Notamacropus eugenii: one gene and its partner. The protein of the gene in region 1 purifies or fractionates together with the protein of each later gene. This does not show direct contact. Links are inferred from orthologs where the notes say so. Each region holds a gene or a part of one and is shown on either strand. Other genes may lie near its edges.

Region 1 (6,960 bases):
TAACTGTTCAATAGGTCAGTTATCTCCTGTGAATGACAGTGCCAACCAAAGCAAGTATCTTGAGTTCCAAGTATACTCAGGGCAAAGTTATAGCAATGCAGAAGGATTTGGCAACTAACCTGAAAATGTTTTAGACATCTTAAAATCACAACCCTAAGCTCAAGATGCCTGGGAAAATTTTCAGGCGCCATGATTCCACAGAATGTGATTACTTTGGGACAAGATACTTGGTACAGTACCCTTTTAAGGAAGGAGTTCTGATCTTAGGTAAATGCATCCTGGATAATTTCTTGCTAAGGTTTTCCTATAACACCAGGTTCCTCATTTCTACAGCAACTATGTGCTTTTCTACCTTTTCAATTTAACTGGAGTCTAGAGCAGAGGTTCTTAATTTTTTGTGTCATGGACACCTCAGAATAATGTTTGAAAATACATAAAATGCTTAGTATTATAAAGGAAACTGGCTTTATTGAAATAGTCATCAAAATTAAAAACAAAAACCCAAGTTCATGGACCTGTGTCTTGAGGTAGCCGTCTCAGTTTATGAACTGAGTTACATCCAGTTTAAAAAAAAAAACCACAAAACAGCGCTAAACTTTAGGAGTATCTGAGTATAGTAGATCTATTTCTAAACACCTGGGTTCCACAACTTGTGGCCTATAATTTTTGTATTTTCAGGAGAATCCTGGACCAAAGGATAAAGTAAACTGCTCGATTTCTAAAATGAGCTGTTTTAGTTGTTTTTAGTTGCTTTATGGAATGTTGACAGGATTAAGTGAGAGGTGAAAAATGGTTTGTGTCAGGGAAAAAGAGGATCAGTTAACAGTTTGTTATATGGCTTCTTAGGTCTTAAAACTGGCAAGCTGTGATTTCTTAAGCCCTTTAAGCAATAGTATGCCCTCTCTCTAGTCTCTAGAATTTTGTGCAAAAGGTAGCAAAAAAGTGTAATTCAACAGGAAAATGCAAATTTCCCAGGTAATCAAATCACTAACAGATTCAGTTATGGAATTATCAAGTTCTAGTTCTCAACCTAAAAAAATCAGGCTTCCTAAACCATAAATTTTATGCCATACTTTTAAAAGAGAAGAATGGTAATAGTGTTCCAACTTCAGGAATATGACAAGAATGAAGAACACTTAGTCAGCAGCTGGGAGATCCAAATTCTAGTAATTACTATTCCACCTCACCATATGACTTTAAGCAAATTAACTAAGAATTTAGTCTCTTCAAACTGTAAACTATAAACATAATAAAGGCTAAGGCCTATATGAATAGTGTGTGGCCCTTGAAGTAAGTTAATCCAAGTGGCAAAGATGCTCTTATTAGTGGCTAAACCCCCTGGATTTTAAATTCTGTCTTTCTATATTCTGCCTTATTAAATTCTGCTATCCCCACAGGCAAAGGGATAGTCTAGTAAGAGTAAAATGGAAGTTAAGAGTATTTGAGTCTATTCCTAATTCACAGAGATTCACTGAGTAACCCTGACCATTTTGTTAGTACAATATGTAGAACACCTTTTCTCAAAGGAGAGAACCTTACTTTTTCTGTCTCAGCCTTCTCATCTGGAAAATGAAAATGGTGTTGGCTTTAATATTCTTCAGTTAAATGAGACCATCTTTAAAAGTACTTTCATGAGGGGGATGCAAAATTACAACCTACCAAGTACTTATTTTAAATGATACCTATCTTCCCAAAACCATATAGCCCCCTCTCCTAAAAGCACATTTTTGGAGATATATAACATTCTTTGCAAACTTCTAAAGCACCATATAAATGAAATGTTTAAATATTATTGCTACTCTCAAATAACAGACTCTCAACTCATGGAACTTTCTACTACTTTAGTAGCAGAGCAGTAGAAATGGCCTTTTAGGAACAAGCCAGGTAACAGCTAGCCCCTGGATACAGGGCAGGGGTCCACACTAATTCAGGCAGTTCTAGAAAAGTGTAGGGTAGGAAAGATTAAAGAATTGTCCAAGCACTGGGGCATTTAGGAACCACTTTCTAGCAAGAAAGATCAGGCGTAGTTGGGGGTAGACTGGAGACGTCATCCAGGAAGAAGCCATCTCGGATTTCATTAAAACCCTTCTTCTAATAGGTGGAAAAGGGCCACAGAAATGAATGAGGGAAGAGTAACAGGGATAACCTCCCGGAGGCTGGAAGCAGTACCAGGCAGAAGAGTGGATATCCAGGCTTACTTGAGAGCGCTGCTGACACAAAATCCTTTGCAGTAATATTAAGTCCAGAACCTCAGAGATGGACGGGGCCTCAGTGGCCCCGAGCGCTCGCTTCTCTATGGCTCATTTTAAAGCTTCCAAGGAGCCTGGTGGGCGCTATCATCATCTCAAAAGCACAGAGGAGAAATCGCAGGCTCCGAGGGTTAAAATGCCATGCCTAGGGTAACACAAACATTGAACTAAGCGCCGACCACCCAGGCCGGGGAGCGGGGAGGCAAATATCCAAGAGAGACAGGCCCCTTGCCCTCAGCGCGTTTATATTCTACTAGACCAAGAACAGAACACTTTATTAAGGTGCAGGCGGATACCAGAGGGAAGCTTTAGCATCCCACCGGGGCGGGGCGGGAGCCCGATTCGTGGGAGTCAGCATAAAGGAGTCCCCTCCGTCAGGAACGCGCGGGGGGAGACTGGGAGATCCCGAGGGGAAGGGGAGGGCCGGGGCTCACCGTCGGCCAAGGCCTCGCTGCACTCGAAGCTGATCTCGAACTGGAAGGGGCTGTGGAAAGGGCTCGGGTTCTCCAGCACCGACACGTTCAGAACCGAAACTTTGGCCATGGCCTCGCGGGGGCAGGAACGAAGCACACCCTCCAAGCAGCAGCCGCCGCCGCCGCCGCCGCCGCCGCCGCCGCCGCCGCCGCCGCCGCCGCCGCCGCCGCCGCCGCCGCCGCCGCCGCCGCCGCCGCCGCCGCCGCCGCCGCCTCCGCTCTCCCTCTCGCGTCCCCTCCGCGCGGTTTCCACACCAGAATGAGGCGGCATTCCCCGCCCCTCCCCCACTTCACCCGCCCCGCGCCCCCTTCAAATAGCCGGACCCGCCCCCCGGCCAATCCGCTCCAACGCTTTCCTCAGCGCGAGCTTCTAGGGGCCAATACGCAGTCGCCCGTCGAAGTGCGTTCAGCTTCTTCCCAGCCAATCGGCTGCCCTCCCTCGCCGGCACGCGCGCGCCCGATTCTGCGCGGATAGACGGGTGTGTGTGGCGGGAGGTGTGTGGGGGGTGTTAAGGCGCTCATCATCCCTCTTTTGGCGCCCCAGCGTGACTGCTCTCTCTTCTTGATGCCAGCCAATCCCCGGCGCCTCCGCCTCAGCAGTGGACTCGTTGTGGCAGAGCGCAGAGTGAGCGCGGGGATCCCTGGGACCAATTGGCGTTGAGGGGACGGCCTTCGGGACGCGCGCTCGTCCCCGCCTCTTTTTTCCTTCCGTTTGCGCTCCTTTTCCCTTCGGTGTACGGAGGGGGCGGGGGAGAGGAAGCAGAGCCGCTAACTGCCGAATGGGGGCGCGAGGCGCTAGCGGAACACTACGGGTTCCCGTAGTGATTGACAGAGGGGGGAGGAGAAAGAAGAGTTGTGCCCAAAGGGGATTGGTCAAGCCGGTCTTGAGGGGGCGGGAGCAGGCGGAAGGTGAACCCGTAGTGTGCTGAAGCGGCGGTTACACTCAAGCACCGTCTTCGGTCGCGCCTGACGTTCTCCGCCCCTTGTGAGCGTCGTGGGCGGTTGGGCGGAGAGGCGGATAAGCCCAGCCTTCTGCCCGGGGAGCCTCCGGGGCCTGCAGCCGGTAGTCGTGTTCGCTCTACCTCCGGCTCACTCCGTGCCGCAGCCGGGGTCGGCCCGCGGAAACGTCCGATAGCCGCCGTGTCTGGAGCCGCTGAGACCTCAGAGATGGTTTAGTCCCACCCCTTGTGTTTACAGCCGAGGCCCAAGGTCACACGGACTGTTCTGGACGGAGGCTGGATCCCAGCCCAGGCCCATCGCGTCACGCAGGAAGCAAGTGCAGTAGCGGCAGTTGGAGCCCAGGCAGTGACCGCAGAGCTCCTTTCACCGAGTTCTACCAGCATTTCGAATTTTAGGCCTGTTTAACTTACGCAAAGGATGCCTTGTAGGTATCTGCCTCCACCGGTCCAGAACTTCTCTTGTAACTTTCCCTTGGAATCACACGTGGGAGTCTTCAACGAGTCGGTCTGTCTTCCCTTCCATGGTCAGTCAGCTGTCAACTCTCCAGATCCGGCCAAATCTCCATTCTGGCATCTGCCTCCCATCAGTCTCCTTCACAAAGGCCACTTCCCTAGTAGAGAAGCTCATTACCTCTGGCCTGGACTCCTGCTGTAGCTTCCTCATTGGTCTCCCAGTCACGAGTCTCTTCCCCTCTCCAGTCATCTACCACACAGATTCAAATGTGATTTTTCTCCCCTCAATATGACCTTACATAGGTTCCCCCCAAACTTGGAGTGCTTTCGTCCCTCACTTCCATCTTTTATGTCCCTTCCTTTAAGGCTTAACTCCTGTGTCATCTCCTGGAAGAGGCCAATCTTTATGTGTGCCCCTCTCCATCCCCCACTTTGCTAATCCTTTCCCTCCATTAGTGTATGTTTTGTATTTATTCGTGTATGAGTTGTCTCTCCCCAAAAGATTGAAAACTCTTTGAAAGCAGTGAATCTTTGTTTCCTTAAAGTCAACTAATATTTAAGCCCCTGCTATGTGCCAGATACCTCGGTAAGCTCCACAGTCACTCTGCTGAGAGCCCCTGGCAGAATCCCCAGCTCATAGTAGGCTAAGGATACTGACATTTAGTGCCTAGAGCTCAGAACCTAGCACAGTGTCTGACACATAGTAGGCGCTTAGCAGATACTTGTTGAATGGATGGAATGGTATAGACTGAGTCAGTAAGAATTCAGTTCTAATCCTGTCTCTGACATAGGTTGTGAGACAGTGGGCATATCATTTAACATCTTAGACCCTCACTTTCCTCATCTGTAATATGCAGTAATAGTACTTAGCTCACTTCTTCACAGGACAGTTGTGCCTTGTGTACATTGTGTGTTTGTCCTTCATTCTCAAAGAGGACCATGACATCAAGATGATGACATGACTTGCAGTTGACTTTGATTTGAGTGAGGGAGGGCTGTGCAAGGTCATCAGCCTCACTTTCTTCTCCAGAGCCATCTGACTCCAGTGGCCTGATATTCATCAGGATGACTGGAGATGGCTCAGGATGCAATGGGAGACCCTGGTCATAATTGATGCTTAATAAATTATTGCATGAAGGAATGTCTCAAGTGATAATGTGTGTAAAGTACTCTTCTGACTTTAAAGCACCATACAGATCTTGGCTAACATGACCTAAAGTATGAAAGGTACCTGAAATTGAAGATGAAAATTTGAAGATGAAAAATATTTGAAGTACTTTAAATATTGAAGTACATATAAGTACTGTACTGGGATACCAAGTTTAAAAATACCAGTCTCTATCCACATCCAGAGAACAATGGAATCAGAATGCAGATTGAAGCATACTAGTGTCTCTCTCCTTTTGTTTTTTCTTTCTCCTGGTTTTTCCCTTTGGTTCTAATTCTTCTTTACACTCTGACCAATGTGGAAATATATTTAATATGATTGTACATGTATACCTTATATCAGATTGCAGGTTATCTTGGGGAGGAGGGTGAGGGGGAGAAAATTTAGAACTCAAAATCTTATAAAAGTGAATGTTGAAAACTAAAAGTAAATTTAAAAAAATATATATTTAAAAATATTGGTCTCTGCCTTCAAAGAACTTAGGTCTACTTGGAAGTGAGGATAGGGTAGACTAGAAAGCGTAATGCAAAGTAGAATGTAATGGGGCAAAGGAAGGTTCAAAGTACTCTAGGAATATTTGAAAGGAAGGAGATACTCAATTGGAAAGATCTGATGTTCCAACCTCCTCATTTGAATATTGGGGGCCTGAGAGAGGAAATATAAGTGGTAGAATTGGGACAATAATTGCTTACAATTTTAAAGAAATTTAAACTTTATAAATCATTAAACTTTATAATTACACAACTATTTGTCTACTGCAAATTTATGTTCTACAACCTCAACTGGGCCCTCACTGCTGCTAGGCAATCTTTCTATACCTCCCTTATCAAGTCTTTATCCTACTCCACAGTTTCTCTTCCAAAGCTCCCTCCTCAAACATTCCATGGCTCCTCCTTCCCCACCCCTCTCAGTTGAGATCCTTGCCTCATATTTTACAGAAAAAAATTAAGACCATTTTCCCTAAGTTCCTTCTCCCTTTTTCCTCACCTCCCATCATTCAGATAGTTCTGCCACTATCTCCTTCACCTGTCAGATCCTAAGGGGATCCGACTCCTTACCAAGGCCAGCCCCTCTGCCTGAACAGGTGATACTATTCCATCCCCCACCTCTGTGAGTGGTCCCCACTCACTCATCTTTTTTTTAATTAGAAAATTTTATATTGCACAATCTATTTCCATAGTACTCATATTATTTTTTAAAGCAAGAAAAATAAAAGAGAATATTCATTAGTTCTCTTTCTGGAGGTGGATAGTATTTTTTAATCTTGAATCCTTTAGAATTATCTTAGATCATTGTATTGATCAGAGTAGCCAAGTCTTTCACAGTTATAACTTTGTTACTGTGCACAATGATTTCCTTGTTCTTCTCACTTCCCTTTACATCATATTTTTTCTGAAACCACCCCCTTTCATTATTTCCTAAAGCACAATAGTATTCCATCACAATCTTATATTACTTGTTCAGCTGTACCCCAATTGATAGGCATCCCAATTTCCAGTTCTTTGCCACCACAAAAAGCTGCTTTATTTTTGTACGCATAGGTCCTTTTCCTTTTCCTTTGATCTCTTTGGGATACAGACCTAGTATTGTTATTTCTGTGTCAAAGGGTTTGCACTATTTTATAGCCCTTTGGGTCTAATTCTCCAGAATGCTTGGAC
Region 2 (7,867 bases), on another chromosome or scaffold:
GTCCTGTATCACATGGTTCACATCATGCTTTAATTTTCATAACTTGAAGATAAATTGCACAAGCATCTTTCATCACTAATCATACTAGTATAATAAGGTCTAGGAAAGGAAAATACTCTCTCCCTCCAATAGCATAATAATGCCTTAAGAAAGAATGGGATGGGGGAAGTGGGTCTGTTTTTTAAAATTAAATCATCAAGCCATTTTTAAAGTATCTACTAAGTGCTAGGAAGTGTGGTTAAAACTTAGGATGCTGATACAAAACATGAAATTCTCTTGCCCTTGAGGATCTTACATTCTAATTAGGGGAATGAAAGGATACAAAATAGATTGATAGGATACAAAATAAACACACAGTGACTGAGGATTAGGAACAACTAGGGGGAAATCAGAAAAGGCTTCCTGAGGGAGCTACTGGTTACAAGAGGCAGAGGGGAGGAGGTACAGAATTCCAGGCATGAGGGGCAGAAAGGCAAGAGACAGAATGTCAAATAGCCAGTTTGATGTTGGGGTTGCGCGGGGGGGGGGGGGGGGATTGTGTGTCTGAGACACTGAGAGACAAAGAAACACAGGATGAAGCCAAATTATGAAGGGCTATCCATGCCAATGGACTTTGTGTTTCAGTATAGAAGGGCTGAGCAGCCTCTAATCTCCCTGACCAGAGGAGCATCATGGTTAGACATGATTTAGGACCATCAATTTGGCAACTGTATGGGGAATGGATTAGAGGGGGAATAGATTGGACATAAGGAGACCAATTAGGAGACTATAACAGTGGTCCAAGGGAGACATGATAAGCCCCTGTAGGATGGTGATTGTAGAATAAAGAGAAGTGGACAGATAGTAGAGATGTTTCAAAGGTAAAGTGGATAAGATTTGGCAACTAGTTGGATAGTGATGGAGGGGGAGTGAGAAAATAAAAAGTTGAGTATGATTTATCTAGAATGCAAACTTGAGTGTCTAAAATATAAAAAACAAAATAAGTTGGTGAGAAAGGGTAGGTACAAGATAAAGGAATACAGATAAATTTTAATTATCTTAGCAACACAAGGAAAAGCAGTAATCTTTATCTAGCAACTAAAGTGACTTGGCTGTACTTGACTTGTCAGGAAGCATGCCTTCTACTGTGAGTTCTACCACTTACTAACCATGAAATCTTGGGTAAATTTGGTCTTAATTTCCCCACTTGTAAAATCAGAGTTGAAGAAGATTATTTTTAGGGTATTACAAACTCTGTTATTCTAATTTCAAGAAACAGTGGCTGGGAAATTAAACGCAGGCAAAATTATTATTTGGTAGGAGGTGGGGAGGAGAGAGAGTCATACAAAAATATAGGAATACAAGATCTGAGATTTCCTCCTAGGCAACACCTGTTGTGGAAATTTCCTTCCTCACCAGATATATCCAATCTATGATTTAGGAGATGTCCGAGAGTTACAGGGACAGAGGTTAAATTACTTGCCCAGGGCCACACAACTAATGTCACAAATGGGACTGGAACCTAGGTCTTCTTGACTCTAAGATCAGCAAGCTACCTACTATGGCAAGCTGTTGCTGCATCTGCTTATTCATATCTACCTTATTAGTAAACTAAAGCTGATATCCTCAGCTCTCAAGTCTATCTGAAGGAATTAAGAGACTATAACCACAAGACAATCTTGGCATGACAGTCCCAGAAAGCCACCAGATTGTATTGAGCACAGAGAGCAAGATACTCTGTGTTGCTAAATCCTAATGCCTGGAATGCACTCTCTCCTTACCTCTCCCTTTTAGAATCTTTTGGTTTCTTTCATTTATCAGCTCCAGAACCAACTTTACCAGAAGTCTTTCAGATTTCCAGCTGCAAATGCCTTCACAGTTACATTGTATCAACTACAGATTCACACGTGTAAAATCTTAGCTAGTTGGTAAACTCCTGGAGGGAGTTTCACTTTTGCTACTGTATCCCTCGAGACCCCCACAACGCCGGGAGTATTGATTGTGTTACTCTCTAATATATTTCAGTGAGTTTCTTGTTGCCTCCAAAATTTCTCTTCTTCATTCATTCATTCATTCATTCATTCATTCATTCATTCATTCGCCAGGAAGGGTTTATTGAGTGGTTACTCTTTTGTAGCCCTGAGGATAGAAAGCGCTTACAGTACTTCGGGGATCTTCAGTGGAAGATAAAGGGTATGGTGACACTGCCAATAATCCCTACCTATAACAACGAATGACCTGGCGTCCCTACGACCCCAGCACTGTCCGTGCCCGCTAGTGCTGTAGCACCTGGAGACCCTGCAGAAAGAGCGGGAGACTTACCTGGGGAACCTCTGTTTCAGCTTCCTCAGGCTCTGCCTGGTAGGTGGCACAGCCACGAGGCACTGAGCTATCTCCTCGTACTGGGCCTTGGTCAATATCATGTTTGGCCCGGGAAGGGGCTGGGGGAGTGAAATGACACCCAGGGGCCGCTGCAGCCCGAAAGGGGCTGGAGACAGCTGGCACCGCGCACCCTGGGGACCCGTCCGCCCTCCGCGCAGCACGCGGCACCGCCGGGGGCGGGGAGGAGGGGCACGCGGCAGCGATCCCCAGGTTCGCCGCGGTGGCGGCCACGGTGGCGGCGGCGGCAGGAGCAGTAGCGCGGGCTTTACGCGGGACTGCCCTCACTTCTGCCCTCTGAGCAGCCGCAGAGCGCGCAAGTGAAGGCCAGTAGGCGCCATGTCAGTTAAGGGAAAAGCAACCAGGAAGTAATGCTGCAAGACGCCTGGCTGCCAGATACTCCAGCACCTCGAAGCCCGCGCTGTTGCCATCTTTCATTCCTGGGCTGGGCTTGGGCGGCTCGGGGAAGTGTCCACTCTGAACCCCGCGCCCAGAACTTCCTTAAGGGGGAAAAAATGCCCAGAAAGTGCCTTGATGGCAGGACAGGATAGTCGGTGCTCAGCCGAGCCCTGGAAAGCGGTTGTTAACGCGTTGGAGTCCGAGTTCGCTTTTGCTCGGGGTGTGCGGGGAGGTGGGGAGCAGGGCTGTGAGGAGGGACTCCCCCCAGAGCCTGGCTGGGAGAGCAGAGCGACGCCTAGAGAAATCCCCAGCACCTGAGGATGGCCCCACAGGTGCCTCGGTTTTAAGGAGCGTTGAGGACCCTACCAACATCGAGCAGCCAGAACGGAGAAACTGACTTTGCATCTTGGAAAATTAGTGTCGAGCCAGTATTAGGAATCTAGGCATCGACCGGGGCTTCTCAGACTAATTTACAAGCCGGCTTTTTCTCAGTCACAGTTTAACAAGTCAACTTTTCTCACTGGCACAGTGACAGGGCTGGATTTGCAGTTAAAAGCCAGGGGGTGAGATCCCACCTGAGGGACCTTCCACGTCACTTCACCTCTCCACCTCAGTTCTCTAGTCTTTAGAATGAGGGATTTGGACTAAAATGACCTCCAAGGTCCCTTCTAGCGCTTTGATCTACGATTTCAAATCTTAGGGAAAATTAAATAGCCCTCTGGACACTGACACTTAACTTTACTGGGAAAGTAGTGGGGGTGGGGGCATTAATTTCGATGGATCTGTTTTTTTTTTTTTCAGAAGTTTTGTTTAATGGAAGAAAGTACTTGAACTTTGGTTGAATGATACTTAAAACAGAAAGCACAGATGTTAGCTTGTCAGGTTCCCTTTAGATTAAGTATTGAGGAAATTTGGGGGACTTTTCAGTTCGTGTTTAAAAGTTTCCTTCTCATTCCCTTTCCTTTTATTTTTTTAATTGTCACAAAATCCAGTAAATAGAGACCGTCCTGTACTCATATAGCTTTCTGCCAAATGTTTACATCAGGATGTTTTTTCCCCCATATGCTTTGTATCCAGGTCTGGCTGTGTGACACCCGTGCATAACTATTTATTTATGGCAGCGGTGCCTGGAGTTGCCACCTGGCTAGTGTGTTGCTGACCCTGCCACTACTTTTACATGAAAGCTATTTGATGCTAAGCAGAAGCTGCTTGTTCCCCTTTTCCTTACCCCTTCACATCTCCTTGTACCCAATTCATAGCAGTAAGATTTTGATAGAAAACATCAGTTTAGGGAGGTTTGTAGTAATTATTTTTTTAAATAGCTTTCACACAGCTCCATCCCCTACACTCAGCTTTACAACACTGAAGGAAAAAAGCCACCTTTAATTTTTGCTAGTCATTTCACTATTTGGTCCCAAATCCTGAAGATTATTTTGGCATTAACCCAGAAGAACACAGACTAAATGACCTAAATGAGTCTCCTTTAAGAATCTGTGATTGAGCAATAAACACTCTTGCACATGCAGGTCCTCTGGTTGGGGGAGAAAATTTTGAGATAATTGGTTACAGAATATTAAAAAAAAACTGTTCAGTGACTTGTAATCTAAAACCACTTGAATACCCAATAAAATATTACTGATGGATAATTTAGAAAGGCAAAGCAAAGCTGTTGATATAATCATCCTTCACAATATTTTATGTTTACAAGTAGAAAGTTTCTTTCAGTGACTCTAAGCGTAAGGTAGAAAGCAACGAAGCCTAAATCTCATTATAAGTAAGCAACCCAAGAAAAGTAAGCTTAGTTTACTATAGAGAAGCCAACAGGAGCTTAGTAACAAATGACAATAATGAAATAACTGAAATTGTTACCTTTTTATACCTAGTTCCTCACACAGTACCTGGCACACCATAGACACCTAATAAATGCTTGTTAAATATAATACTGTGGAGTTCACAAAATGTTTCATTTACCTTTTGATTTGATCCGTACAAGAACTGTGCTAGGTAAGCACCAGACATTATCATCATTTTGCAGACGAGAAAATGGAAACGAATAGGTTAAATGACTCATCCAGGGTCATAAAATTAAAAGCTGTATAGAGAAGTAGGGCAGGGATGAATGGAAAGGGACGGGTTTCAACACAGGGCCATTGACTTATCGTTTTCATCACAAAAAAACAAATTTCCCCATCAACCCAGATCAGCACACATTTTTCATCAGGTATTATTTTTCAGGTTGATAGCTTCCCATTATCCCTCTTACCTGACTCCTCACTATCAGCTTTCTAAGGAACAGGAAAAATTAAAATGATCAAATCAATCAATCAATAAGCATTTACTAAACACATATTCCAGGCATTGTGTGCTAAACTCTAGGGATACAAAGATAAAAGTGAAAGGATCCTTGCCCCTAAAGAGCTTACCTTTTTAAAAAAAAACATTCAATTTTATTTTACTTTCAGTTCTTTGAATTTTCTCCTCTGACATCCATTCCTCCACCATCCACTGAGAAAGCAAGAAAAACAAATTTGTTAAATACATGTAGTTAAGCAAAGCAAATTCTCACCTTAGCCAAGTCTCTCTCTCTCTCTCTCTCTCTTTCTCTCTCTCTCTCTCTGTCTCGCTATCTAGCTATCATCTATCTATCTACCTATCCATCTATCCATCAAACTATAATCTGAATTAATTGTCTCTCTCTGGAAGTAGATAGCATGATTCATCATAAATCCCCTGGAGCTGTGGGTACCATCATGTAGATCAGAGTTCCCAAGACTTTTGAAGTTGTTTAAAAGAAACTATATTCTAATAGGGGAAACAACATGAAATTTAGAAGAATACAAGGTATTTGGGAGGAGGAGTGCTCTTGGAAGTGGGGGATCAGGACATCATGTAAGAGATGTCCCTTGAGCTGAGTCTTGAAGGAAAGCAGTTCCTTGCTTTCTGCTTCAAGAAGCTGAAGTGAGAAGGGAATTTCTTCCTGCCTTGAGGGAGCCAGTGCAAAGATAGGGAGATAGGAGATGCAATGTTGCATGTTCAGAACAACAAATAGATCAGTATGACGATCAAAGAGAGAGCTGGAAGGGGAATTATGAATAAGACTAAAAGCACAGGAAGGGGGAGGTTATGGAGATATGGGAATGTCAGAGTTCATACATGATCCTGAGGGTAATAGCAGAGTCACTTTAATTGATTAGGGGTGGAGGAGGGAGGTTAGTATAATCAAGACCTGCCCTTTAAGAAAATCACAGGTAGCTCTGGAGAATGGATTAGAGTAGGAAACACCTTGAGGCGAGGAAGCCAAATAGGAGGGTATTGCAGTAGTCCAGGCAGAGGTGATGAGGAATGGATTTAGGGAGGTCACTAAATAAGTGGAAAGAATTGCGTGCATGAAAGAGAAGGTGCAGAGATATAAACAAGATTTGGCAATGGATTGGATATTTGTGAGTGAAGAATTAATGATGAGACAACGGTTATGAACCTGGGTGACTACAAAGATGATAATGTCCTTGACAGTAAGAGGGAAATTCAGAAGAGGGGTAGATTTAGGAGTGGGAGGGAGAGGTATTGAATTCGGTTCTAGACGTATTAAGTTTGAGATGCCTCTGGAACATCCCATTAAAAATATTTAACAGGCACTCTATGAGGCAAAAATGGAGCTCAGGAGAAAGATTAGGACTGTATATGGAGGTCATCTGCATAGAGATGTTAATTGAACCCACGGGAACTGATAAGATCATCAAAGGAGAAGAGTCTAGAAAGAGAAGAGAACCCAGAATAAAACCTCTGGGAACTCCCACAGTTAATGAACGGAGATGGTTCAGCAAATCAGCAAAAGTTCGAGATTGGACAGGAAGGAAGGGAACCAGCAGAGTACAGAGTCACAGTAACTCAGAAAGAAGAGAATTCATGGGAGGAAAGTATGACTGACAATGTCAAAAGCTGCAGAGAAGTCACAGAGGATGAAAAGTGAGAATAAGCCATTAGATCTGGTCCCCCAGAGATCAATAGTAGCTGAAGAGAGAAGTTTCATTTGAGTGATGAGGTCAGAAACCAGATTTCAGGAATTCAAGAAAAGTATGTAGAGGAATTGCATGTAGACATCTTTTCTGAAGCCCAAAGCAAAACCAATTTTCATTAATCAGTTCAGTTGAACCATTTATTCCTTGATGAATCTGGATTATTTTATTTTCTTTTATTTTCCTCTTACTCCTGGTCCTCATAGTCACTTTTCTGTTCCTATTACATATGTACCTGTCTTCATCATCATTATTATTATAATTACATGGGAAGTACTGTAGTAGAAACTCTAGAGTCAGAGGTCCTGGGTGTGAATCCTGACTTTGTTACTTTACTACCATTGACCGTTAGCAAGTTATTTAATCTCCATGGCTTCAATGAAAGGGAGGAGAAAGATGACTGTAGTTAGTACTGTTAGTAAATTGTAGTCAGTGTTTTTAAAGATAAGGAAGACTTTAGAGGGAAAACAAAAGTGCACATGACACAGTATGTCTCTGATTTGATTAGAACCCCAGAGGTAGTAAACCATTTTAACAGTGTAGGCTAGAAAATAAAGTGACATAATTGTTGGATGAACCGAATCATTTAATCTTATGGTTGGAAGGAATCATAGACAATATCAAGTCCGGACCTCTCATTTTACAGATGAGAGACTAAAGCCCAGGAAAGTGAAATGACTTGCCCATACACAGCTAGTTAGCAAGAGATCCAGGACTGAACCCAGAGTCTTGGAATGACTTGGAAAGACAGGCAAAAAAAAAGTCTGGGACTAGAAAACAGTATGATTTTTTGTAACACAGTGTTCCTATTAAATTGGAAAGTCTGCCCTCTCTACTTAATATCTGTCACAAGAATATTTAAGAATAAATAAGGTAGCATATGGGAAGCAGTTTGAGAATTTCAGATTCATTACTGGAATTAACATAGTTATTTTCTTTGATCTGCTCCTGCTACTGAATTATTCCTAAAAATAAACTACTCACCTAACTCTTTCAATGTGCCTAAGTTCATACTATATAAAGTATATTTTCATTATTAATTAGAAGCTAAGACTAATAGGAATTCAACACTACCCGTAAAATGGGGTTGGGAT

The links. Proteins that work in one complex are often made in the same cells at the same time.
Region 2: the proteins of ASF1B (region 1) and CDIN1 purify together in Homo sapiens (affinity purification with mass spectrometry; 4 studies listed by BioGRID and IntAct, counting the BioPlex papers as one, with this or other methods). This does not show direct contact. The link is inferred for Notamacropus eugenii from reciprocal best matches to the Homo sapiens genes ASF1B and CDIN1.

Annotation. Positions count from the first base shown.
Region 1 is NC_092875.1:76,827,789-76,834,748, reverse strand, and holds the start of ASF1B (histone chaperone ASF1B), read right to left. Parts: upstream 3,005-6,960; 5' UTR 2,994-3,004; coding exon 2,684-2,993; intron 1-2,683. UniProt on the Homo sapiens protein: Histone chaperone that facilitates histone deposition and histone exchange and removal during nucleosome assembly and disassembly. Cooperates with chromatin assembly factor 1 (CAF-1) to promote replication-dependent chromatin assembly.
Region 2 is NC_092878.1:21,609,498-21,617,364, reverse strand, and holds the start of CDIN1 (CDAN1-interacting nuclease 1), read right to left. Parts: upstream 3,030-7,867; 5' UTR 2,403-3,029; coding exon 2,302-2,402; intron 1-2,301. UniProt on the Homo sapiens protein: Plays a role in erythroid cell differentiation.